Arabidopsis thaliana: one gene and its partners. The protein of the gene in region 4 interacts with the protein of the main gene of each other region in a pairwise test. Each region holds a gene or a part of one and is shown on either strand. Other genes may lie near its edges.

Region 1 (7,845 bases), on a different chromosome or scaffold from region 4:
AATCTGATACTTTCTTAGTAGCTTGATGTGATAGTCAGTTCATACACAAGTTCCAATTATACATATTCTCCTCTTCATTTTATGGCAGGTGATAGCAGTTGGACCGGGTTCCCTAGACGAGGAAGGTAAAATTACGCCTCTACCAGTATCAACCGGAAGCACAGTACTTTACTCCAAGTATGCTGGTAACGACTTCAAGGGCAAAGATGGTTCCAACTACATTGCCCTCAGAGCTTCAGATGTGATGGCTATACTTTCTTAGTTATGTTATATCTTTGTAATCTGCAACTTGTATCCCAATTGTGGAAATTTTTTCCGTAAACGGCCTGAGCATAATCTGGAATAAAGACTTGAGTTTGAAAATGTGATTTTATTGCTGATTTCATGTTTTTCCTTCTCTTTTTGGTTACAAGCGGTTTCAGTTGATCAGTTAAACTTGGTAGAAACAGTGACTCACAGCAAATAAAATCTCCGTGTAAACTTAGTGGAAGATATTTTACAGGTAAATGCTCTACAGTGCCCAGTGGAAACTTGAGACATGTTATCAACGAGAAGTTATATTACAAAACGAAGAAAAAAGAATCTTTGTCTGTGAGAGAACTCTTCTGCCATCACCGGTTAAACGAAGTGGCTGAGTTATCATCATAATGACCTCTCCAAGCATTGCCACTGTCACCGCCACTACAAGCTTGATTAGTAACTGGTACACCGGCAAAGTTCCCGTCTAAGCTCATCTGCTGAACCTCAGCTGATGAAAGGATCTTAATGCTCTGAACACAGTTTACGAATTCTCTGCAAAAATCACGATTTTAAAGGTTAGCAAAAAAATAATGGAACTTCTAACAGTCTGATGTGTGAATGTAATTGCTCTCTACTTACTCCCATGGATCATCGCCGACGAGGAGGATGTCATTTTCATGATCGACATAAACAAGTTTCCAGTCAGATGTTTGAGGATCTTCGAGCTGTCCTTCGATCCCAAACATGCGCGCTAGATCATGCCTCAGCTCATCGTAACCTCTGTAACGGTTGACGTCTATTGATCTCCCCACTGAGCCTCGTTTTTGCACCTGTAGGAAAATTTAACATTTGTCAAACCGAAAACATAACCCAAATATCAACAAGCATAGATCAGAGCACAATCGAACCTTTGTATAAGTTCGCATTCGCTGAGTCTGAGCTGGCCACAATCCACCACCAAGAACTCCAGCATCGTTGACAGCTAGATCGTTCGAAATGGCGGGCACATTGGGGACACCAAAAGATTGAGTTCTTACAGCTGAAGTAGACATCTCTGTACCAATGTCATTTGTCACTCCTCCATAGTTTGAAAGCATGTTCTGAAGATCTTTCTGGGAGTCATATCCCCTCGAGAGTAGCGTGTCAGGCACAAAGCCATTATCAACATTAGCTCCACCGAGCAAGCTGTTCCTGGAATCACCGTCAAGGCCAAAAGTTGGAGCCAAGAAATTTTGTTGTCTGTTGTTTTCGCCTCCATCTAAACCGTAAGAAGTTCCAGAGGCAGATGCTTCTAGTTGATGATCTGTTAAACTAGCTTTGGACTTTTGCTGACCCACGAGTTCTTGTTTTAGCCGCATATCGGATTTGCTGTAAAGATCCTGAACAAGATTACCAGACATATCAATCGCTGCATCAGGTATCAAGATCGCTGGCCCGCTTTGGCTTCTGTTGAGAAAGCCTGAAGAAGAGATCTGACAGTTGTTGGTGGAAGGCGACGTTGAAGAGGAAGGTGCATCTCCTCCATCTGTGATGCCTGAATAAGCTTTGACCCCTCCCCCAACCGGTGGGTTTTGTTTTTCCTGAGGTCGGCTCACCAGCATTTGAGGTGGTTGCAACGTCGATAAGCCATTGTTAGTGCAAGATGACGGAAACTGATGACCTTGAGAGAGAGTAGGCAGCTGTTGCAACTGCTGGCTTTGCAATTGATGGTGTGGTAACTGAGACTGCGGCGAAAGAAATTGCTGCTGCTGTTGCTGTTGTAATCTCTGTAACAGCTGAAACTGTATATGCGGCTGTTCCAAGAGACTCTGCTGGAATATCTGTTGGGCCTGTGCCTGGTGAGCTTTCTGCTGCAAAAGTGTTTGCTGATTCTGCCCGTTGAGACCAGGAGGCTGCTGCTGTTCTACTTGTCGTGAAAACTGTGTCTCTTGCGGCGGTGCGGACATCAGATTGGATGAAGACTTGCTGGTTTCAATTACACTACTCTGGCTAGTGCTAGCACCTAAATGGTGATGTGCTTGTTGAAGTTGCTTAGACTGTTGTTGTTGCTGTTGAAAGCTTTGATTAAGGGAGCTGGACGGAGGCGTGATGACACTGCTTGCCATTGATCCCGAAACTAATTGTGGTTGCAAATGATGTGTAGATGCTTGTTGCGACTGATGCTGCTGCGCTGCTTGTTGACCATTGTAAAGCTGATTCTGTGGAACCTGAAGTTGCTGCAACTTATGTTGTTGTAACTGTTGTGGCTGTGGATGCGAGTGAGATTGCAATGGCTGTGTTCTTAGCTGCTGCTGCTGAGTCTGTTGCTGTAACGGTTGTTGATGTTGTTGCTGCAGTTGTTGTTGTTGTTGCTGCTGGAGCAATTGTTGTTGTTGCTGAGACTGCGATTGATTGTTGTTGCTGTGTTGTTGAGACTGCAATTGTTGTTGCTGCTGCAGCAACTGTTGTTGTTGTTGCTGTTGTTGAGACTGCGATTGCTGTTGTTGATGGTTCAAAGAGGAGTGCAACAATTGCTGCAGCTGCTGTTGTTGGGACAACGTAGTTGGTGGCTGAGGCAACTGAGACATTGGGGCTTGCTGATTCTGTTTGTTAAATTGGAGATTTGAGGAGGAAATCCCCCCGTGCGGCGTCTGAAAGCTCAGTAACTTGGAGGGATCATCAGTGCCGCCAAGATTGTTGTGCAGCGCCGCGGTTGGCGAAAGCATTGATGGGAAGAAACCTGGCTGTGCAGCAGCAGAGGGTAGCTGGCCGTTCTGCTGCTGCATATTCATCCACTGAACTAAACTCAGACCAGGAAAGATAGTACTCGAAGGGTCTTTCATCTCTAAGCTATTATCAAGCCATGGCATTGCTCTCTTCAGTGCAGACTCCATGTCAGTCTCATCATCTGCAAGAGCACCGGAAATTCCGTCCTTGAGGAGATTCAAAGAAGTTGTGTCGAAATGAAATGGTACAAAAATTTACCTGGCATTCCAGGTTGTCCAGAAAAGCGAGGTCGGAAAAATGGAGGAGGACATATGTAGAAAGGAGTTAAAACCGGTTCAATGTCCCAAACTGAAACTCGACTGGGCCTATCACCAGCAGCTGACTCATCCCATCCAATCTTTAGCAGAAACAGAAACAAAGCATAACTAAAATGAATGGTGCAATGTATCAAGAAAGACAAATCTGACATTCATCATGAGTTTTACTTCAAACTACCTGAAGATTCCGCCACTGAGAGTTTTTCCATCTCACTGGATCAAGATCACTGATACCGGTAACTGTACCCATATACCGACGAACTCCACATTCTTCAGTCTCAAATATCATTCTAAACCGCATACCGAGGGAAACTTGAGCGTACATCGCTTTGGTATACTTGGCTAAAGGAACCACAAACTCAGCAGGAGCAGCCCTGAAAAAACTCGGTTGTAAATCTCTCAGCAATTGCCATGAAACAAGCATATATAGTAAGGTTAACGTAGACAAAAGGAAACATAGATCGCCACCTCGGGTTGTAGAAAATGGTGAAAGGACTGTTATTAGCATTAGCATGAGCTGCAGCTGCAAGAACTCCGATGTGCATGCTATCACTTGATATTACAGATGAAGAAAGTGCAGGCTGTTGTCTATTTGCACGTCTTATCCCCAACAGAAGTTGCGCCTTTCCATCTCTTAATTGAAAGAAAAAAAGAATTAGCATCTTGACAAAAAAAAATACCGAAAGAGAGCATTGGCACATTGAGATTGATATACCTTATAAAAAGAACAGAGTCTCCAGCAAAGAGCCTTTTCGTGCTGACAAACACACTCCAGCCTGTAGTTAGCAAGTGCCTTTTTGGTTGACCTGATAAATGTCAACATATCCAAAACGTAAGAACAATTCTACGAAAGCCAAATTGATTAAAGAAGGTAATCTACCAAAAACAAGGTAAAACCTCGATAAATATGTCTGAAAGTCCATGTGTTGTCATGAATATCCTTAGCAACAAGCTCCTGACAAGGTGGTTGCATCGAGAAATCCTAGTAAAATATTGCCAACAATGTAAGAAACTAAGGCAATACAGAGATACTAACTATCAGATGTATAAGAAAGTATTGTATATACACCAGAGCAGGAAAGATTTTCTCAGCAGCTCGTCGGGGTACAGAAAATCCACCGTGAGTACTTGTGTCACTCGCCGTGAGGGTTTTGCAGAAAAATTCATTAGGTTGTCTGTTTAGCTTAAGACCCATGTCAGAAGCAAGCAATGCATCTCTGTCATACTGTTCAACAAAATGCTCAGAGCAATTAGTCCCTCCCTACTCCTTAAATACACCTATAAATCGAGTTATTCAGTGAAAGGTAAGCTACTTTGTTTACTGGCTGAAGAGTCATCTGCGCATAGACCTCATCCGTCTCAGGATCAGCCTGGTTCACAGTCGACAATTAGCAAAACATTAGCAACTCAAAAGCAAAAAATGTTAAAACAACTAGCCTAAGAGGCCATTATAGATATTTAAAAGATACCATACATTCAGTGTAACATTGTGGAGCATGCATATGAGCTTGGAAGGAAGATTCGGGTAACTTGGTATGAAATCAGTCTGCTTCTGCATTGAAGCCGCGACCTAAGAAACAGAAAAATAAATAGCAACCACATGAAATTTCCAATCAGCGACTCATTCTTGATCAGCCGCGAATGATACCAAACTTTATTGAACAACATACTTGCTCACTGTGACCTTGAGGGAAGTAAACAACAAGACTTCCTGCTGGAGGCAACGAAATCAATGGCCCAGCACAAGCGTGCCATAGCTCTGAGTTTATATTTCTCCTTTCTCCTGCATTCACACAACATCAAAGCTGTGATTACTTAAAATCTCTAGGATCTTCATTCAGTTACTATTATCAAACCAACAAGATAGGAGAGAACTGCTCTAAACCAACTAAAAGCCACAGTCTTTATAAACCAATACAATAGTAACTTAGCTTACTCTCTAAGCAGAAAATGACCGAAACCAATTCAATTCAGGTTCTCAAATCCAGCAATTCTGAAGAAATGTGTGACCTCTTCTACTTAAAACTTGAATCTATTCAAATCCAGCAATGAATTTCTTCTACTAAAGGATTGACATTTATCAGATACGAGAAACACACAAACCTTCAACAGGATTAGGAGAAACTCCATTTGATGAAGGAGCTTTCATGATCACTCAACTTTACTTTCTCTGAAGAATAAACCCAATAAATAATCTGAATCTGAGCTTATACAAAGCTAAGCTCTTTGCGTGAGAGCTTCATCAAAAGCCCTAAACTTTCACTCAAGTTGTTAATAGCTTCCTAGCTCAAGTAACAGCAGAGAGAATCGTTAATCAGAAATGGGGAACTCCAAGATCTCAGCTTTTTATCTCCGACAGAGCCGCCAATTTCTCGGAAATTTTAAGTATCTCAAAGAGATCAAAAACCACGACTTTTCACACGCGGAATCTCCGGAGAGACAAACAAAGCATACGACCTTAAAAAAGATTCCGTTTTTAACGAAGCTCTTTATCTCGAGTCAGATAATTCAAAAACACCCACAAAGTTACTTGATTCAGCTGCTCTTCTTTGTTTTGCTTTCCTTTCTTGGGGGGAATCAAATCAAAGAGACGGGTTTCTATAAAAAGAAATCTGGAAAATGAATCGAAAGAGAAAAACAAAACTTAAGGATGACCAAGGACAATCGAAGATTAAGACTCAAACGTGAGAGAAAGAGCAACAGAGTTGTCGGAAAGGGATGATCAGCGACCAGGACAACTACCAAAAGGTCTGCTAAAGCACAGGAACAGCTTTTTCTTCTTCCTCTCCTTTTTTTTTCCTTCTCTTTTCTTTTTCCGATATTTTTATTTTTTTATACCTATTTAGTTATGCTCATGAAGCCGACATATTCACTAGCAAACTGGCCACGATTTAATTTCTTAATGTTATTATTGTCCTCTAAAATTTTAACTTTGACACACAAAAAAACAACTTTATTAGTGTTTTCTTTTTCCTTATCTCTGATAATTTGATAAGTTTTTTTCATTAAGGTTATTATTACTGTATCATTTATTGTAATACTTGATTAGGGATAACATAGATTTATAGGGGATGTATTGAAAAAAACAAACTAAGCTGACTAGCTAGTTATTTGATCAAAGTGCGTACATATATGTTTGGCAATTTCTTTTGTAGTTAACTATATTTAATTCAGATAGATTTTAGGATTCATAATTCATCAAAAAATTTTATGATTTTCATTATTTTGAACAAAAGCATTTTACTAGAAATTTTGTGGAGTTTTACATGGTTGGTTCTGAGTTTCATAAACTAGCGTTCATGTTTTAAACGAGAATGGAACTTAAATGTTTAGTAATGAGTTCTATAATAACAAACAAATCTAAATTCGCTTAGATCATCATTATAAACAATTGATCTTATTTTGTTGTAAATGTTGATTAATTGATCAAATCTAAGTACATACAGCATATGCGATCACAAAGAACAATATTTTAACGGACGATTTCATATCAAAAATGATAGAAGTTCTCTCTTTGTTCATGATTCTTTATTGGTTTCTTATATTAATTAACCTAAACTTTTGTCTTTTGGAAGAAGTGTTATAATGTCACACAAAATAAAATTACATATGATGATCACAACTTACACTCTTTTCCCAGTACAGCCATCATTCAAAATTTTCCTCTATAATCGTTAAAATGTCTACCCAAAAAAAAACGGTGATATATATTCCTAAACATATTGGAAAACCGAATATAACCATAAATATGTCATTGTACAAACTACAATCTATTTGGTTTAAGGCCACATAACAAGTTTTATCTACCAAAGACTGAACCTCCATATTCATCACAGACCATTGTAAAATGCATGTAAACCCTTTGAATGACCCCACATCAAAAAAGAAAGTTACAAAACAGTAACCTCTTTGTTAGTTTAGGTTCGATCCAAAACTTATTTGGCAGGAATGCTTAAAATTCTATATACTTACAACTTTAAGTGAAGGTAATATATATGTATGGAATGAATGGATGTCAATTCAAATAAGTGGCAGTGAGTAGCGACATGATGTCCCTGAGCAATAAATGCGTGAAGACAGAAGTTTGGAGATTGGATGAATGTAAGAAGGCCTTTTGAAGTTATGGATTTCGACGCCTAGCTTTTTTTTTTCTTTTTTTTTTGTGAAACTTTGAGGCCTAGCTAACGTTTAAAAAAAGAAAAAGAAAAATGTTAATAGTTTTCTTATTACAAAGTGACCGAAATTTAGTATGAACTCCGAACTACGACTTCATGCATGTATTAAAGTTGGAATGAAAGGAAGAAGAGCGTGACGCATTTCAGAACCGGTTGTGTGTCCGTATGGTGTCCGCAGTGGAAAGTGGAAAATGAACAAGATGAATAACTCATATACTGTCCTAAAGATATTTCCAGAATCACATCAACGTATTTTAGCCGATTTAATGAATTCGACAGTTGGTGTTGACAATATATGTAAATGTAACCACAAAATACACCACTTGAGTTGGATGAATTATCAGAGAGAGACGAGGAAGTTTCGTTACGATTCCATGATTTTCTCGACTTTACTATGTCATTCTGAT
Region 2 (6,135 bases), on a different chromosome or scaffold from region 4:
ACTTCCTTACCTTCAGCACATTGTGTCAGAGACTTTACGGCTTTATCCGGTGGCTCCAATGCTTTTACCCCACTTAGCATCAGAAGATTGTATAGTTGATGGCTATGACGTTCCACGCGGCACAATCATCTTGGTGAATGCATGGGCCATCCATAGAGATCCAAAGTTATGGGAAGAGCCAGAAAAATTTAAGCCGGAGAGGTTTGAGAAAAAAGGAGAGGATAAAAAGTTGATGCCATTTGGGATTGGACGACGATCTTGCCCTGGTTCAGGGCTAGCTCAACGGCTAGTGACTTTGGCTCTTGGATCATTGGTCCAATGTTTTGAGTGGGAGAGGGTTGAAGAAAAGTATCTAGACATGAGAGAAAGTGAAAAAGGAACCACAATGCGAAAAGCTACATCGTTGCAAGCTATGTGTAAAGCTCGTCCCATTGTCCATAAGGTTTTAGATGCTTCTTGTCCATAACTTTCATCATACAGAACCTCTTGTATAACAATTTCGATAGAAACACGATCTGTTTTGTTGCTTCTTAGCTATGGCCTTACCAGAGTACTCTATATTTTGAGGTAAAGACAGGCTCTTCTTTTCTAGGAAGTAACACAAGATCTTTAAGGTCAAAGAGAAAAATCTGGTTAACTCCAAACAACTAAAGGTCCAACGTTTACTACATGCCATAACTTAGTATTGTAGGTAAATGAGATACTAGTAGAGAATGTTGGAGAATCAAAGTTTAGTTACTATCGGAATCGTTTCCTGAGTCCACATTCATCGGCTGAGGGTTCTTGTAATCACTGATCTCATCCTTGTATCGCTGCTTGTCGACTTGAGCCTTGGCTTCATATGGCTCTTTATCATCAGCTATACATACACACGGTTGGGGAATTAAAACACATTCACATGATAAAGTAAAACCAAGTAATGTATTTACTTTTGAAAAGGATCTTCAAATTTTTTACCAGACATTTGACGCCACTTATCTCCAAGCACCTTTCCCACCTCTCCAAATGCTATTCCTGGGTGTTCCTTCTTTATGTTCTGTTCAGTTCACAAATGGAAAATGACATAATCAGGAATGTGCTAAGTTTGTCTGTTAATTGTTTGCTCTCATGTATGTAATAGACCGAGGATACTCCATTTCGCAACTTAGCCTACATCATAGAGGTAAAAGTAAAAGAAAGGAGAGAAGAACTCACATCTCTTTCCATTTGGGAAAAGAACATGAAACCAGACATTGCTCTTTTTGGTGCGTTGGGATCCTTCTTCTTCTTCGGCTTCTTCCTCTTACTACTGCCTTCGTCTGCGGCTACAGTTTTCCTCTTAGGAGGCAATCCTTTCGATGACGAAGCCTCTTTCTTAGGTTCCTTCTTGATAGATTTCTATAACAAGTCAATGACAGGAAGATATGAGAAACAAATACTGCTGCTGAAAGAGTTCGAATGAATGCGACAAAAGTTTACCTCTTTTATCTCTCCTACACCGCCTTCACTAGCATCAGAGTCGTCCCCGCCAGAATCATCAGTTGGTGAACCACCATCATCATCCTCACCCATAACAAAGTCTTCGTCCTTCATAAATTAAAAGTCTCGATTATCAAACACATGATCATTAGAATATGAAGTAATTCGGTCAGACATAAAGTACTTGCCTCCTCATCACTCTCATCAGCAGCTTGGTTTCTGATACGCGTAAGATGAGGGTCAACAGCATCATCATCATCATTATCCCCAAGAACAGCAGCAACACCGTCTGCGGTACCCGCACCTCCAAGGTTCATAATCTTCAAACCCTTAGAGCTGCAGCAAGAAAACATAAGGAATATTCACCACAAATCTTAAATGCACTCAGTAAATATAGACGGAGACAATGAAATAATCCGCGCTAACCTTATGAAGGTATAGAGATTGTGATACTCATTTCTTTGAATGTTACGGAACAGATGTTCATGGTCAGTTTTCAGTCTTATGAGAAGATCAAAGTAATGCATGTTAGCACCACCAGCAGCATGCCTTTCAAACTCGACATAGTCAATCTAAAAACGAAAAAAAAACAGGTTAGAAAACCCAACTCTATCTCAAAGCCTATAAAAAATCTCCAATCCTTAATAACCATAATTTACCTCATCGTGAAGTATAAGCGTTGGAGGTTTAGGTAAGAAGAAAAATCCCTTCTCGAGTGGATAAAGAACCCCATCTTCTGCCTTGAGAGACGATTTCACTGCAAACCCATCTTGGGAACTGCGGAACTTCCCAGGTTTAGTGATCTTTGCACCAGACAGCCAACGCAACACGGTGGTGAATACTTCATGAATGAGACCCTGAAAATTCATACAATTCAGCGTATGTATAAATTTTTTTATTCAGGAACAATAATGTAAGTGCAGACCAGACAGAAACCTTATATGATCGCTCCAGCTTGTCCTTGAACTTTGTATTCATAAGTTCATCACTAATTGACAGTTCACTTTCGACAACGGTGTCTGTTTCAAACTGGAGAAGATGCAAAAACAGTTATGTAAATCAGAGTAAAAAAACGAAAATTATACATAGAAAATTGAAATGGAAGGAAAAATGTAAGTAATGTTTACCTGCATAACAATGTGGGGGTACATTGTCTGACCTTTCCGGATTGGTGGGTCTAGAGAGATAACAACAAACGTGTGTGGTTGGTTTGACTGCTCAGGCATATAAAAAAAAATACGAACTCAATTAATGTGAACACGATTCAGTGATCATAATACGATAATCCCTTTAATCTGATGACTGCTAACATAGGTAACTGCCCTGAGATATGCTTAAAAAAGAATTACCTTTGGAAGCAAGAACAAACGGACAACGCTACTGTACTGGATTTTAAAGTCATTAGCTTGTCCTTGCAATCGTAAGAAAGAAAGGTGAAGTTCCACATTGTACCGACCCCTGTGATAGAAACAACCAAATCATTTAGTCATGACAAGATGAAGCCATACAATAGTGCAACAAATGTTTAAGTAATCAACTCTTTACCTGGGTGTGAGGATTGCAATACTCTCAAATGTGACGACCGCATCCTCAACTCCAGGACTAACATCAGCCATTGCAACGATTGTGTCATTGAAAACCTGAGACATTCTTTTAGCATCAACAGAAAAAAATATATACTTGAGGCACATACATATAATGAAAATAGTTTGGGAACTCACTTGAGAAGGTGGACGGTTTTCATCACCAACAAACTGAGTGTTGGAATTAGGAATATGAAAACTAATCTCCATCAGCGAGTCTTTCTGTAAACACGTAGAATATAAATCAGTAAATGTACATACATAACAGCCTAGAGATTACATATCAAAAGAAACCAGTACCTCATTAGCACCAGCAGTATCATCAACATGAAACTCCAAAGTAACATCATTTTTCCCTTGAAGCTGAGTCTGTGAAACATCAGCTAAAGATACTTCAAAAGCTTGTTTTGATCCAACCAAAAAGGTTAGTGTATTCCCTACACAAAGAAACAAAAAATTCTCCCTTTAGATCCACAAATGAAACTAGACAACCACAAGTAAAGCCTAAAAGCTATAAGAACTCTCACCGTGTAAATCCACCTCTCCCCAATTACGACCACTAACTGATAATTGCTTCTCATCCGGTGTTTTTCCATAAGAACTTTGGAAAAAGCTAGACAGACTTGGAACATCCTACAAAACAAAGGAATCAGAACAAGCACAAACATTACAATATCAAATCAAATAAAAAAGATATACACACACAAACCTGATCTCGAAATCCAACGAACTTGTAGTACAATCCATCTTTGGTTTTGACTCCCAATTGATTACTCTTTGTCACTTTCGTCCAACTAACACTTACAATATCAGATCTATCAACTTCCACAGCTTTTCCACCACCTTGTTTCTTCCATTGAATTCCTCCAGAATTGATTTTAAGTAAACCCGGGTTCTAAAAAACCAAAATTGAAACCCTAATTAGCCTTAAGAAAACCCTAAAAACTACCGCAGCTTTAACAATTGTAAACAAGAAAACAACACAACTGAAAAATGAAAGCGACAATCTTTTTTTTAACCCTAAATTTGACTCATTGAGTTCTTTAAGAATCGAGCGGCGGAAGCAAAAGGGGATACAGAGAAAGGAGATTAGGGTTTTCGAAGGAAGAGGAAAAGGTGAAAACTTTGAAGGAATTGAAAGATCTTGAGAGATAGAAGGAGACAGAGAGAGAAGATGGTACCTTTCCACCGCGACCGCTGAGAGAGATATTATTGAAGGAGTGGCCGTCCGCCATGGTTTTCTGTTGAGAGACACGAGAGAGACGAGAAAGCGAGAGCGAAAGAGAGAGAGTGATTTTTTTTTTTCCAAACTATGATATCAACTTTTATACATAGACACTCAGGCGGTTTAATTTTGGGAAGAAAACCAATTTTCGAAAATTAGATTTTCCGGTTTAATTGAATTTTTGAGTTTTTGGTTTTGCAGATTTGGGAAAAAGACCTTTATCAAAAAACGGTAAAAACAGAAGGTTGTTTTGAGTTTTGGATTTTTTCACATTTGGAAAAGAAACCTCTTATAAAACAGAATTTTATATCAATTATGTAGGCATGCGGGTTCGGTTTACCAAACCGGTTACTTCGGTTTTGTTTGGCTTTGGTTAGGAGGGGAAAACCGGTCTAAGGGTATGGAGAAGTGATTATTGAAGGAGACAATAGGAATGTGATGGAGCTATTCAAAATAAATAGACAACCAAACAGAGGATCCGAGCATTGTCTCTATTGTTCAACATTACCAAATGGAAACAAGCTCATAATAGTAGTACATGTTGTATTAACCTCAAAAACCAAACTATCAAAGTCTTTTTATCCAATGTAATGACTATAAATTACCCTGCATTGCTAGAATTCTTCAGAACTGTTTTCGTTTGTTCCTAAAGAGTCTATCTCTTTTCGAGAACACGTAACCAACAGCCATTAACCCGAATCCCGACACTGAAACAGTTCCCCATGGGAACGGTGGATCTTTGAAACAGTTGAGACTCGCTTCTACCCGTTGTGACGCGAGGTACACTACTGAATGCACTGAGTACAAGTCGTGTGAAGCTGATCTTAAGTAGAACAAAGCCATCTCGAACTCATTGTGTGATAGAGCAGAAACCGTTTTATCCAGCTTGTACTGCATAAGATTCCACCTTTGCATGAACTCAGAGTGGCGATTCTGTTTCCGTAGGATCACATCTCCTCCATATGCAACCGCGGAATCGATAACATCGATTGCACTTGTGATAGTTGTGTTCAAAGATGTCAAAATCACGTTTCTCTTAGCAGCATCTTTCTGAACAAACGATAGAGACGAGATATCAGAGAATGGTCCAAACGGTGTTTGCCCAATGCTCCATGTATAATCAACTAGAGTTGTGTTATGTCTCGGGCTCCATGTCAAATGAGTAGAAGATACACCCCACATACTCTGCAGAATGGAACCAACGAGAGGTCGTTCTAAGTCTCTCGTATGAACAAACACATGACGCCCGTTGCAAGTATAATCACTAACCGTTTGAGTTCCTCTAGTTCTAACAGCAATCACCATATCTCTAAAAGCAACAGACTGATGATACCGATCAAGCAACAAAGGCGTATTGATATCCAAATCAAACACATAAACAGGTAAAACCCTAGCAAACTCATTTCCTTCTTCTTCAACAATCCCCGCAACTCTCCTCAACTCCTCAGCCGAATCAGTCAACGCCCGATGCATATGCTTAGAATCCAAATACTCACTCACAATCAAAGTATAGTTATCAAACAAAAACCTAGAAGTATACGAATTCATCCCACGAGATACCGCAAACGAACAAATCGAACATTCTCTATAATTCACACTATAACTCTTAAAACTCAACTTCTGTTCACCTAACAACAACCCACCACTCTCAGCTTCATCCATAAACGTTCTCTTCACAAACTCCAAATCTAACCCACTCGAATCCTTAACCTCTGACCCATACACATGAATAAACTGAACCACCAACGTATCCTCAAAGTACACAGGGATTCTCAAAGAAGGAACAATCAAAACCTGATAAGCATTATACACCAACGAAGCCAAATCCGCAAGTAAAGCTTTTTCTGATTTAGGACGACCATGTAAAGC
Region 3 (6,945 bases), on a different chromosome or scaffold from region 4:
GTTATATGTTATTTTCAAGACAGTAAGAGAAACATTGTTACGTCAAGTAGTCAAGTACGTTTGTTCTAGTATCGTATGTTGTGGGGGAATTAGCCTTGTCGAATCTAATTCACATATTATTTTTGTGGAAATTTGACTAATGGATAGTTTATCCGTCCATAAAACAATGACCCAAAATCCAAATTTGGTTGAAGTAAATCTCTATAAATACCACGTGAATTTAACTATGTTTTGTGTGCAAATTTTTTTATTTCCCAACAGTTTAGAAATATCTAGAAACAAATGCAAAAAGACAACCAAATTTCTTCAAAATTATGTTTTAAAAAAAGAAATAAGAAAATTCATCTTTAATTTTGCATTTTGTATTAAAAATTGTTAGAAAACTTTTTTTTTTGGTGAACAAAATTGTTAGAAAACTTTTATACATCTCTCTTTAATTCTTGTATTAAAGGTACACTTCACAAGTTTTTTTTTGGTTATTTTTCTTTTGACTTCTCAATAATGGCTAAGTCATTCGATTCACAAGGATTCCGTGTACTTCTCCATTTAGTCCAAACAAGGAAACAAATATTTATAGAAATGACAACATTATCCTAATCATACATTCAAATATCCAAAAAGGACACAATCTCCTTTAAAAAGCCATTTTTGAATCTTCTTGGATAAACAAACAAAGTGTCTGTCTCACACCAATGTTTCAAATTTTAAGATTACAATTAAATAAATATAAATTGCTAAGTTTCTTTCTACACAAGACATTCCACTGCTCCTGCACTTTTCTTTCTTCTCGGTCTAGAAAAGATTCAATGAATAGCTCTTTAGTTGTTGCATTCAGGGAGCTTCCGAGAATAAACTAGCACCATTACAAATTCCTTTGCAGATGAACCTATTGACGCAGCGACTCTTTGATGCTTAGAAGTTGTTTCCAACCATAGGTCTACTAAGCTGTGAAGCTGCAACGTTGGGATCACTGGTTCTCCCATACATGTTATCTCTACCTGTTTACAAAAAAAAAACATAGAGTAGTTAAGGTTCAACACCGGTGGGTCGAAAAAGTCCCAGATCATAAGATATCACCCGGTACACAAGTCGGAAATAAAAGGGAGAGTTAACTTTAGTTTAAACATTTATGGGGACCTTACAGTCATATTGATAAGCACAAGACTTGAACCAATGTATAGAACTACGGTCTATGTGATTCCATATTAGACCGAGTGGATACCTCATATAAAACAGAAAAGTAGCCACTGCATAAGATAAGATTGCTTACCTCATCTTCACTCTTGAGATCAAGCTTCCTCATGAGGTACTTTTGGATAAAAGAAACTGGAATATTTCCATCCCTACCATATAATGAGACAGGGGATCAACTCTGGCACAATATAATTCTCCCAAACAAGAAAATAGACACCTCCCAGTCAAGGATTAGGTGTGATGGGCCAAAAAAGAAGAAGGCTTTATCAAGAAACGTATACCACAGAAAACAAACATGACATGGAAACTCGGGTAAAACAACTGCGAAATCGAATTCAAAGCCATCAATGCAATAATAAGTAATATTTGATCACAGACTTCACAGTTGACATATAAAAACTTAGTGACAAGAAACAGAGCAAAGCAAAAAGAACAACTTACCTTATTCTCAAGTAGTTTGCTGGAATCTGAGGCAATGATGCTTCTCCTTCCCTGAAACCAGTAAAGCCGTGTCACTAAGAGATAGAAATGAAAAGACACAGAAAATATTGAATATCAGAAGTACTCAGAGTCTCAGATACAGAACAGGAATCTCACTGATTACTTGACGCTACAAGTGAGAACCAAACATGACCGTTTCTCCTCTCCTGTTTTAGGCTTGCTGCACCTGGTAACAGTGGAATTCTAGAATCACCAAAAGTAGATGACCTTTTGCGACGAGTCCGACGCGTTCGTTTAAGTGTAGCAGTTTCTGATGTTGTAGGATCACCGTTATTGCTGATCTCTTCCTCGAGTTTACACTTTCTTTTATGATCCTTTGTTTTGGTTTTACTCCCCTGAACATCATTGTGGGATGCGTTTCCAAGCTCAGATTTTGGGTCCTTTGTTCCGTTTGCCACATCCACAAGAAAATTTAGAGGTTTCCAAAGATGTAATTTGGAATCCCATGGTTCATCAACATCCTTGTTTCTTCGATTAGAGAGGGACTGGTTAGGATTTGCATATGAAGACTGCAAAAAAAGAATTAATAAATAAATAAATGTATGGGGAACTATATAAAGACCATAATCAGTCATAACGTTGTGTTTGGACTTGGTAAAGAGAAAAAGTAAAACATAAAGGTAAAGAGAGAACTGCAATGATCACCTTCTTTACCTGTCTTTTATTCTGAGTAAACTTTTTAAGTGTTTCAGGCGAGCTTGCGCTCTCTACATGATCATCTCCAAATTCTTCTTCCTTCTTCACTGTTCTCTTAGTGAATGAACCACTACCTCTTACATCTTTTCTCGTAGCAGCTTTTGTTCTTTTTCCTGTTGTACCAGCTTGTGCTGAAACCCTGGGTGTGCTTACCACCAAAGACGAGATAGACCTCTCCTTCCTCTTTGCAGGTAATGAGATGGAGGACACAACTTCAGGCGCTCTCTCCTTTTTACGTTTTAGAGGAAATAATTTGGCTCTCAAGTCTTGCAAAATGTGGTCAGGCCTAAAATAAATACATAAGAGTGGTTCTTTAGAAAATGAATAAGTTCGCCACCAACAAAGCTCTTACTGGTGACCAACTAGTAAGAGAGAGTGTAGTACTAAAGAGATTTGTTTCAGGTTCTAACAAAAAATTGTTGGTGTCAGCGAAAGTATTAAACTAGCCAACATATTCAGGTCATAACTGCTTCTGAATCGAAATGACTTTTCTTGATTAACTTCACACTATGCCACAAAAATTACGGAAGAACCTTCCATATGTGGCACACCTCAGCATAATCATGTACAACTTTTCAGCATTATGTAAGAAAACTTCGTTTCATCAACAGTAAGAGCCAAAAGGCTTCTAACAGTCTATACAAGGAATCACTGCTAAACCAAGACCGAGGAGAAAATTGTGTAAGGAATAAAGAAGAAGAAGAACTTACCTTAGTTTCTCCAGTGGGGTACCCCCGAGGTCAATATCGCATACTGGACAGCTCTCTATCTCATCCTCTGTGATTTTCTCATAAATGCATTTCCTACAAACTGCATAAAAGTGATATAAGAACTTGTTTCATTTCAATAGATAGTAACTATCAAGTAAGAACAAAATCTTTTGTAATAAAGGCGACCAACTTACATAAAAACAAACAATTTCTCAGATCAAAAGTTTAAGTAAAGAATGAATAGCATAATGTTTGAGGTTCAATGCAAGTTGGCTCGCTGCCAAGTTTGAATTTATTAGATGCAAGTTAGATTATCGGACTCCTTCCACCAAATCCATTATAGCAAGGCCGATAATTGGTATGGTCTCTACTGCATCAAGTTATATTAGTTGTCATGGCAGAAGCTTGTAGACAAGTGGTTAATGAGCATCATACTGTTTGGTTTTAAAATCAAGAAAATCCATAGCTACCAACCTAAACAAAAGAGATGGAATCACAAATTTGATGGGGATACTGCATTCATCCCCAGAAACAAAACCGTGAAGCATTTAACACCTAATTTTGGCACTGCAGTAACTCAAAAAGAGATTCTGCAGGGCGTTCTGAAAATTTTATTAAATTGAGATAAGCAGTTGGTCAGTTGTACAACGGAACCGAACTGTTAACATTTACCTTTTTAAAATCAGATGGAATGAGTAAAATAATTACAGAGTAACAAGGTATATTTCTCCGTAAACGGTAACAAAGAATTGGTTGTGTAAAGCTTGGAATGGTAGATTGATTTAGACTCCAAAAGGAATATAAACTAAATTTGAATAAATTACAGAGATCAGCAAATACTTCAACATGCAGAAAACTCACTACTAATCTGGATTGTATGTTAAAAGAAATAAATTAAGCCATTCCAAACAGAAAATGATCTAAACTGTCTTAATTGTATAATATCATGTAGAAGAAAGAGGCTGATAAATGCTACTTAATCCAAATATTAACTTACATTAAACCGATGAGAGTAGATTAAAGCACTTGTTACTCGAACTTCCTAACACAAAACTTACAAGTTGGATATAACAAAGCAACTGAATCTAACTAACAACATGATTAGCCAAAACCAAATTTGGACGTCATGAGTTTGACCAAACCATCTTTGACGAAGAAGAAGACACTCACAAATTTTACCTAAAGAGACGAATAAAGGAGGATTCTTGCAGTCTAAATGTAAACAAAGATTACAAATTCTGCTCAACAACAACTATTACTTTAGTTGAGAAAACCAAACAAAACTATTCATTGACTCGAGTTTCATCAAATCGACTGAGACATAGAGGAGATCATAAGTGGCATACGAGACTAACAACAAGAATCATGCAGATATTCAATCCAAATCAGCAAGAGGAAGAAAAAAAAAACACAACAGAGAACCAATCAAAGAAGACGATAAAGACGAGAAATTGCGAAAATTAGAAACCGGGTAAAATCGAATCGAAACGTAAATCGAGAAGGGGAAAGAGGAACTAACACGTGTGAAGACACTCTGAAATGGTAGTGGCGTCACGGAGGAGTTTGTCACAGAGAGGACAAGTCATGCATGCCACCACCGTTTCTCTCTTCACTTTAGCCACCATGTCTCCTTCCATTGCTCTCTTAACGACTCCTTTAAATCCTTGATGTCTATCTAAACGAGGATTGATCGATGAATCGCACGTACTATCCCCAAAACTGCATGTAGAAGAAAAACAACGACCCACCAAAAAAAAGAACCCAGATTTACGTTAAACAACAACTCTCGTGCGAGATACCTACATTCAAATCCAAATCCGATGGAGACTCAAGACCGAATATATCCGTAAAGGGTCGAAGAAAATCAGAGTGAAAGAAGTCTCAATCGGAAGAAATAGAGTGATGAAGAAGAGTCGACGAGGTTGAAGAAGGGAGAATCTGGGGATAAAAATGGAGAGAGATTCGAAGGAATAGGGTGAGTATAAAACAGAGGAGGAGACGATCTGAATCGAGGAAGAAGGTGAAGGTGAAGAAGAAGAAGGAAGGGGTCTCTCTAATAAAGAGGCAAGAGGGGTCTTCGTGTTGAGGAGAAAGAAGAGAAGCGAGCGATACCGTAAAGAGTAAAAGACGTTCCTTTCTTTACTCTGTTTTTATTTATTTCCCAATTGTGTAAATGGGCTTTTCCGAGGCGAAACAATGGTTTAGGGCTGCAAAGTCCACCACCGATTTAACCCTCTCTCCTTTTTTACTGATATTGCGTGATTTTAATCTTTTTATTTTTGTTTATTGACATCATTAGGAAAATTACTTGGAAATAAACAAGATGAAGAGGTGAGTCAATTAATTAATAAAACTTAAGAAATGAAGAATTAAAAAATGAAGAGGAGGAATCAATTACACTTGACAGAGAGTATGCTTCTCAATGATTGAATTTTTGGTTCTAAATATATATGTACAAAAGGGAATTACGAGAAAATAGCATCAAAGTAACCGGAAACAATCATAAATATTATAACTGTTAATAAAAATTAAAACCCTTTAAATAAATAAAATTTGAAAATAAAATATTTATATATATATATATATTGTTTATTATTTCTTTTTAAAATTAACGAGTTTAAAGATGTCTATATTTAACTCAATAATTTTTCGTTAATGAACTCTAATAAATAAGTAAAATCTATATGTCCATATGTTATCTCAAGTAAATTTTATCTAATTTATAACTTGGATGTCAAATTCATAATGGATATTTTGAAACATTTTTCCGAAAAGTTGTAAAAATGGCATAAGCTGAAAAAATCGAATACATCTTATCACTTCGCGATCAATTGGAAGGTCACATATCTCTCGCAAGAGCCAACAGTTTTTATGAAAGATCGACAAGTAGATAATTTAATAGTCCATAAAACTTCTAAAATTCAAAGCTAGCTGAAGTAAAAGTGTAAAACCTTATTAATACCTCAATATTGCTTCCTTTTGCAATTATAATTTAACTGTTTCTAAATGTAGAAAAGCATGTACTAACAAACACTACACTGATTCCAATACTAAATATTGGTAAATTGTTAAATCTTTTTGAGTATATACTTTTCTTATATATCAATCTAACATTTTAGTATCCAAAATTAGTATGAAATTTTAATGGTTCTTGCTAATAAATTTTATTTGTTAGGCAAAAATGAATCACAACATAATACATGTTTAGTTAATAGGTATGTATCGAGTTTCTACTTTATGAATCAAAATAATTCACATCATCACTAAGCGACAAAAGAATTTACATATTTCGTCACAGTATGCAAGACGAATCGTACGTTACTTTTAAAACAGTAGAAATACATTTTTATGCCAACTCGTCAAGTACGTTTGTTATAGTAACGTATGTTAGAAGAACTAACCGTTTTTATTTTATTTTAGGAATTATCCGTATTGAATCTAATTTATGCGTTATTCGGTAAAAAAACGACAAGTAGATAATTTATTCGTCCATAAAACAATGACTATTTTTTTTTTGTAAATAACATTCAACACCCCATAATAGAGAGATCAATCAAATATAAACTCATCCAGGGGTTAAAAATTTCAATTCCCAAATTCGACCTCAAACATTCCAGTTGTTCCTCCAAACTCCAAAGTACAAAGCTGTGAATTTCCCACTCTTGAAAATCATTGACAGTACATTCTATCAACGTGTCAAAACATCTATGGTGGCTTGGGAGAATTTCCACTAAGCCAATCAAAAGAAGTCAAATCTTAGTAAACTAGTAATTTTGCTAGCACATGTACACCGCGCCGCACTATATCTGTATCTCAACATTAATCCTCTCCGTATAAAAATCAA
Region 4 (4,111 bases):
CCATTGGAACCGGAGTTTGGAGAATCAGTAGACATTGTGGAGTGGGTGAGAAGGAAGATAAGAGACAACATATCACTAGAAGAAGCATTAGATCCTAACGTAGGAAACTGCAGATATGTGCAAGAAGAGATGCTTTTAGTTCTACAGATTGCTCTTCTCTGCACTACAAAGCTCCCGAAAGACAGACCTTCGATGAGAGATGTGATATCGATGCTCGGAGAGGCTAAACCGAGGAGGAAAAGTAATAGTAATGAAGAGAACACTAGTCGTAGCTTGGCCGAGAAACATTCATCGGTTTTTAGTACTTCACCTGTAAATGGCCTTCTTTAGTATGAGATTTAAGAATCAAAAGAGGCCGATAAACTGATTCGTTCGATTCGTGTTCTGTATGTAGAAGAAAGAGAGAAAGAGAGAGAGATATGTATCTTTTGATTTAATTTTTCCATGTAGAATAAGTTTCCTTTGTTTTACATGATCATATTAACTTTGTGCATTGCTCTGAACCGTTTTGTTTTTGTGCAAGAAAGGGTTTTCTTATAGATTTTTAAAGTGTGATTTACAAAGAGAACATATAACTAACTAAAAGAAAAATGGCAGAGCCAAAAAAGAAACTGTAAAGGGGAGAGAAGAAGAAGAAGCTTCTTACAATGTTTTTGTCTTCTCTTTGATCTGTGATCTGTCTTATTACTGCTTCAAACATAAAGGGTTCTTCGTAGATTATTATTTGCTTCATAATATCATCTGAGCTGTAAACAAGGATCACACAAACACGGTCACAACGACAAAACAATGATTTTAATACAGATATCAGGATTTGATCGAATCAGTAAATGTACCTTTACCAGTAGCCTCCGATGTTTTCATTATCCGGAGCCTTCTCACTGAACCAATAAACATCCTAGACACAAGTAAAACTCAGGTTCAAACTTCAGAATTTGACGCTTACACGGGACAAAGCATCAAAAGCATAAGAACATATGTATGCATACCCCCACGGAACATCGCCAACAAGCATCCAATCTCCTTCCTTGTCTTCATACGTTAGTACTAATCCGGAAGACCCATCTGGTAGTATCTTGACCGGTGTTTCCATGTGACCATCGGTTTCTAGTGTGCGTGAACCTGATTAAAGAAAGAATCATAACTTCATTTCCCATACCAAGAACCAACTTCAAAGGAACCAAAAAAAAGGCCATGAGATTCGAAAAGCACACCTAATTTAGGTTTCAGAAACATTTCCTCTAGAGTGTTTGACAATGATTCATAGCATTTATGAGCATTCAGATCGATTTTCCTTCCAATAGGAATGCCATCCATAGTCACCTTAACAAACATGGAATTTCTCATCTTTGTTGAATCACTTCTATTCTTGTTTACGGCTTGACTTATCTCCAAGTTCGGATCTTCAGTGGCTGAAGCCTTAGCTTGGTTAACCATACTGTTCATTCTGTAAGTCCTTATTGGTGGCCATCCCACAACTTGCCTGCCATTTTCAAAGGTTTCAAATTGCTCAAATAAGAGTAAACACATAAAAAGGGTTATAAACACTTCAGGGCCTTGTAAAATCAGATACCAAGAGAATCACTATACAGGATTAATCACTTTCTCTCCAAAGCTAATAAATACTTTAGAATCCAAGAAGAAAAAAACTGTCATCTCTAGAAAACGATAGTAAGATTCAATTTGAAGATATAATGACCAAAGCAAACTATCTAATGATCAGGAAGATACATTCAAAGTCATCTATACGTAACAAAGGTCGAATCTTTTCAGATAACTGTGATCAAGGACATTCTGTCTAATCAATCCCATAACCATAAAAAGCAAAAATCAAATCTTTATTTATAGTTCTATTGATAATCATGATATTAAGAATCCCCAAATAAACCATAATTGATCAAAATGTAAAAGAGGAAAGGGAAGAGAATTTCACTCACCCACTAGTTGCAGCCATGGAATCAGCTGTCCTCTTGATCCCAGCAATTACGCTAGCTCTGCTCAGAGAAGAAGATGATGAAGAAGAAGAAGAATCATCAGCGTAAACCCTACAATCTCGATACCCTTTGCGACCAAGGCTCAACGTAAGACCAAGCTCAAGCTCATTCCCTATAGGAGAAGAAGAATCCTCACAAGAAACGACGAGATTTTCATCGTTTGACAAAGCCGAAGCCGATCCACTAGCGGAACCGCCTTCCATTTTCGACAAAACCAGAAGCTGAGAATTAAGATTTTGATTGTGAGGGAAGGGAGGAAAAAGAGATGGGTTGAATTTGAAGCAAAGATTGAGACTTTAAGTAAGGCAGAAACAGTGAGAAAGAAAAAGGGAAACAAAGGATGAACAAGAAGACACGACGGGTGGGATTTGTCTCTTTTTCACTTCCCTAACTTTTAGTCTTATTTCTCGCCCAATTTTATCATTTTTTTGATCCAATAATAAATTTCTCACATTATTCCGTGACTATATTTACTAGAAACTCTTTTTTTTTCCTTCTTTTAACAATATCCACTTATGTAAGTTTTTAAAATAAAATATGTGGACTTTTGGTATAATTATTTCAATTTTTCGTAAGTTTATATAGGGAAGTTTTACAATTATGCGAAATTCCGTTGTAATATATTTATAAACTTATAATCAATTAACGATAGGATTAGATGCCAAAAAATATAATGGACAACATGATTTTTCAAAATGTATATTATTGTATTAATGTTCAGATTTTTGTAGTTGGTATTTGACTCCAAAATCTGATATAAGATCGGATAGATTTCAAAGAAAATTTGATATCAAAACGGTAGTATCCGTGGTATTAATAAAAACATTTTTAAAAGGCTGGAAAATAAAATAAAAACAAAATTCATACAAATATATATTTTCAAGAAGTGGGGGCTCACATGTCAGCTTCATGGGATTCAATCGGACGGCTAGAAAAAGATTACTTAGAAGGCTTAGTGGGACCCACGTGTACAGAGAGGGGGGACTCGTGCCCACACGTCCTTTGGTCCATCCATCTTTCCAAATCGGACGGTGCTGATTAGTTCCGGTTTAAAGCTATTGATAGTTAGATACCATCACTATATAGGTTTAATTAGTATTTTAAAATCAAGTGGCAATCTAATCTTTAATCACGTAATTAAAATTGAATTTTTAAGGCAATAAAGGAGTTTAGCTGTCCATTTTTAGTGGTGTCCGAATAAAAACCCTGTCGTCTGGAGGGAAGACATAACCGACCGTTGCTTCTTTTCACTTTCCAAATAAACCGTTCAATTTTTTAATTAATTGCATATAGTAGAAGAGTTGAATTTTCGAAAGAGTCCATGTGAGAGAATGAATACTCTGAGATTCGCTGCGGTGTGTACCACCGTATCTGATTCTCTCAAGCCCAGTTGCAATCAAACCAGTACCGGTTATCTCCGAGATAGCTAATTTCATTATCTTAATAAAAACAGAAAACCAAAACCGGTTATTTCCGAGTTGATATCTTCTTCCTCGTCTTCTTGTTAAGCTACTCTGTAGTACAGAGAGAACAAAACAGAGAATTAAAGAATCGATTTAGACCAAATTGTATGTGATTCGTTCGGACAAGAAGCGATGATGAGGGGATCTCGGTTTCTCCTCTCTCGCGCTTCTCTGTATCACCGTCTTCGCTCTGATCATCACCATCACAGTTTCTCCAGTTTTATCAAACGTAGCTCAATTCAGAGATCACCAGCTATCAATGCATTCTTCACCGATCCATCTCCATCTCCATCTCCAGTCAACGCACGAGTCTTCTTCTTCTCAACTTCAACTTCAACTCCAAATCAAGATCAAACCAAAACAGCATCATCTAAGAAGATCCTCCGCACGATTTCAAGCTATCTATGGATGAAAGACAACCCAGAACTCCGATTCAGAGTCATCGCTGCTTTAGCGTGTCTCATAGGAGCTAAGTTCTTGAATGTTCAAGTTCCTTTCCTCTTCAAATTATCTATCGATTTACTCTCTTCATATTCATCTTCAACAATCACTGATTCAAATCCTTATCTACTTGCTGCTTTCGCTACTCCTTCTTCCGTTCTCATTGGCTATGGCATTGCTCGATCTGGATCTTCAGCTTTTAACGAGCTTCGT

The links.
Region 1: the proteins of IAA11 (region 4) and NPH4 interact in a two-hybrid assay, tested with the Arabidopsis thaliana proteins (2 studies listed by BioGRID).
Region 2: the proteins of IAA11 (region 4) and HMG interact in binary tests that used the Arabidopsis thaliana proteins (3 or more experiments, as listed by UniProt).
Region 3: the proteins of IAA11 (region 4) and DRIP2 interact in binary tests that used the Arabidopsis thaliana proteins (3 or more experiments, as listed by UniProt).

Annotation. Positions count from the first base shown.
Region 1 is NC_003076.8:7,016,093-7,023,937, forward strand, and holds NPH4 (Transcriptional factor B3 family protein / auxin-responsive factor AUX/IAA-like protein), read right to left. Parts: upstream 6,022-7,845; 5' UTR 5,413-6,021; coding exon 5,367-5,412; intron 5,047-5,366; coding exon 4,934-5,046; intron 4,834-4,933; coding exon 4,738-4,833; intron 4,634-4,737; coding exon 4,577-4,633; intron 4,489-4,576; coding exon 4,333-4,488; intron 4,246-4,332; coding exon 4,161-4,245; intron 4,070-4,160; coding exon 3,979-4,069; intron 3,897-3,978; coding exon 3,729-3,896; intron 3,638-3,728; coding exon 3,442-3,637; intron 3,344-3,441; coding exon 3,205-3,343; intron 3,128-3,204; coding exon 1,149-3,127; intron 1,071-1,148; coding exon 880-1,070; intron 793-879; coding exon 612-792; 3' UTR 378-611; downstream 1-377. Other genes in the region: CPN20 (chaperonin 20), read left to right, coding at 89-262. UniProt on the Arabidopsis thaliana protein: Auxin response factors (ARFs) are transcriptional factors that bind specifically to the DNA sequence 5'-TGTCTC-3' found in the auxin-responsive promoter elements (AuxREs).
Region 2 is NC_003074.8:10,783,095-10,789,229, reverse strand, and holds HMG (high mobility group), read right to left. Parts: upstream 4,343-6,135; 5' UTR 4,277-4,342; coding exon 4,223-4,276; intron 3,937-4,222; coding exon 3,751-3,936; intron 3,675-3,750; coding exon 3,569-3,674; intron 3,479-3,568; coding exon 3,342-3,478; intron 3,264-3,341; coding exon 3,180-3,263; intron 3,099-3,179; coding exon 3,004-3,098; intron 2,917-3,003; coding exon 2,808-2,916; intron 2,673-2,807; coding exon 2,586-2,672; intron 2,488-2,585; coding exon 2,395-2,487; intron 2,316-2,394; coding exon 2,118-2,315; intron 2,031-2,117; coding exon 1,885-2,030; intron 1,795-1,884; coding exon 1,647-1,794; intron 1,567-1,646; coding exon 1,459-1,566; intron 1,378-1,458; coding exon 1,195-1,377; intron 1,037-1,194; coding exon 958-1,036; intron 860-957; coding exon 732-859; 3' UTR 501-731; downstream 1-500. Other genes in the region: CYP81D11 (Cytochrome P450 superfamily protein), read left to right, coding at 1-466; AT3G28720 (uncharacterized protein), read right to left, coding at 4,891-6,135. UniProt on the Arabidopsis thaliana protein: Component of the FACT complex, a general chromatin factor that acts to reorganize nucleosomes. The FACT complex is involved in multiple processes that require DNA as a template such as mRNA elongation, DNA replication and DNA repair.
Region 3 is NC_003071.7:13,024,237-13,031,181, reverse strand, and holds DRIP2 (DREB2A-interacting protein 2), read right to left. Parts: upstream 5,272-6,945; 5' UTR 4,739-5,271; coding exon 4,621-4,738; intron 3,202-4,620; coding exon 3,102-3,201; intron 2,678-3,101; coding exon 2,350-2,677; intron 2,205-2,349; coding exon 1,792-2,204; intron 1,687-1,791; coding exon 1,636-1,686; coding exon of another isoform or gene 1,632-1,635; exon of another isoform or gene 1,344-1,631; coding exon 1,271-1,343; intron 999-1,270; coding exon 819-998; 3' UTR 521-818; downstream 1-520. UniProt on the Arabidopsis thaliana protein: E3 ubiquitin-protein ligase that acts as a negative regulator of the response to water stress. Mediates ubiquitination and subsequent proteasomal degradation of the drought-induced transcriptional activator DREB2A. Functionally redundant with DRIP1.
Region 4 is NC_003075.7:14,140,374-14,144,484, reverse strand, and holds IAA11 (indole-3-acetic acid inducible 11), read right to left. Parts: upstream 2,351-4,111; 5' UTR 2,198-2,350; coding exon 1,938-2,197; intron 1,484-1,937; coding exon 1,215-1,483; intron 1,123-1,214; coding exon 990-1,122; intron 899-989; coding exon 837-898; coding exon of another isoform or gene 808-836; exon of another isoform or gene 747-807; coding exon of another isoform or gene 742-746; coding exon 557-741; 3' UTR 516-556; downstream 1-515. Other genes in the region: AT4G28650 (Leucine-rich repeat transmembrane protein kinase family protein), read left to right, coding at 1-330; ABCB23 (ABC transporter of the mitochondrion 1), read left to right, coding at 3,590-4,111. UniProt on the Arabidopsis thaliana protein: Aux/IAA proteins are short-lived transcriptional factors that function as repressors of early auxin response genes at low auxin concentrations.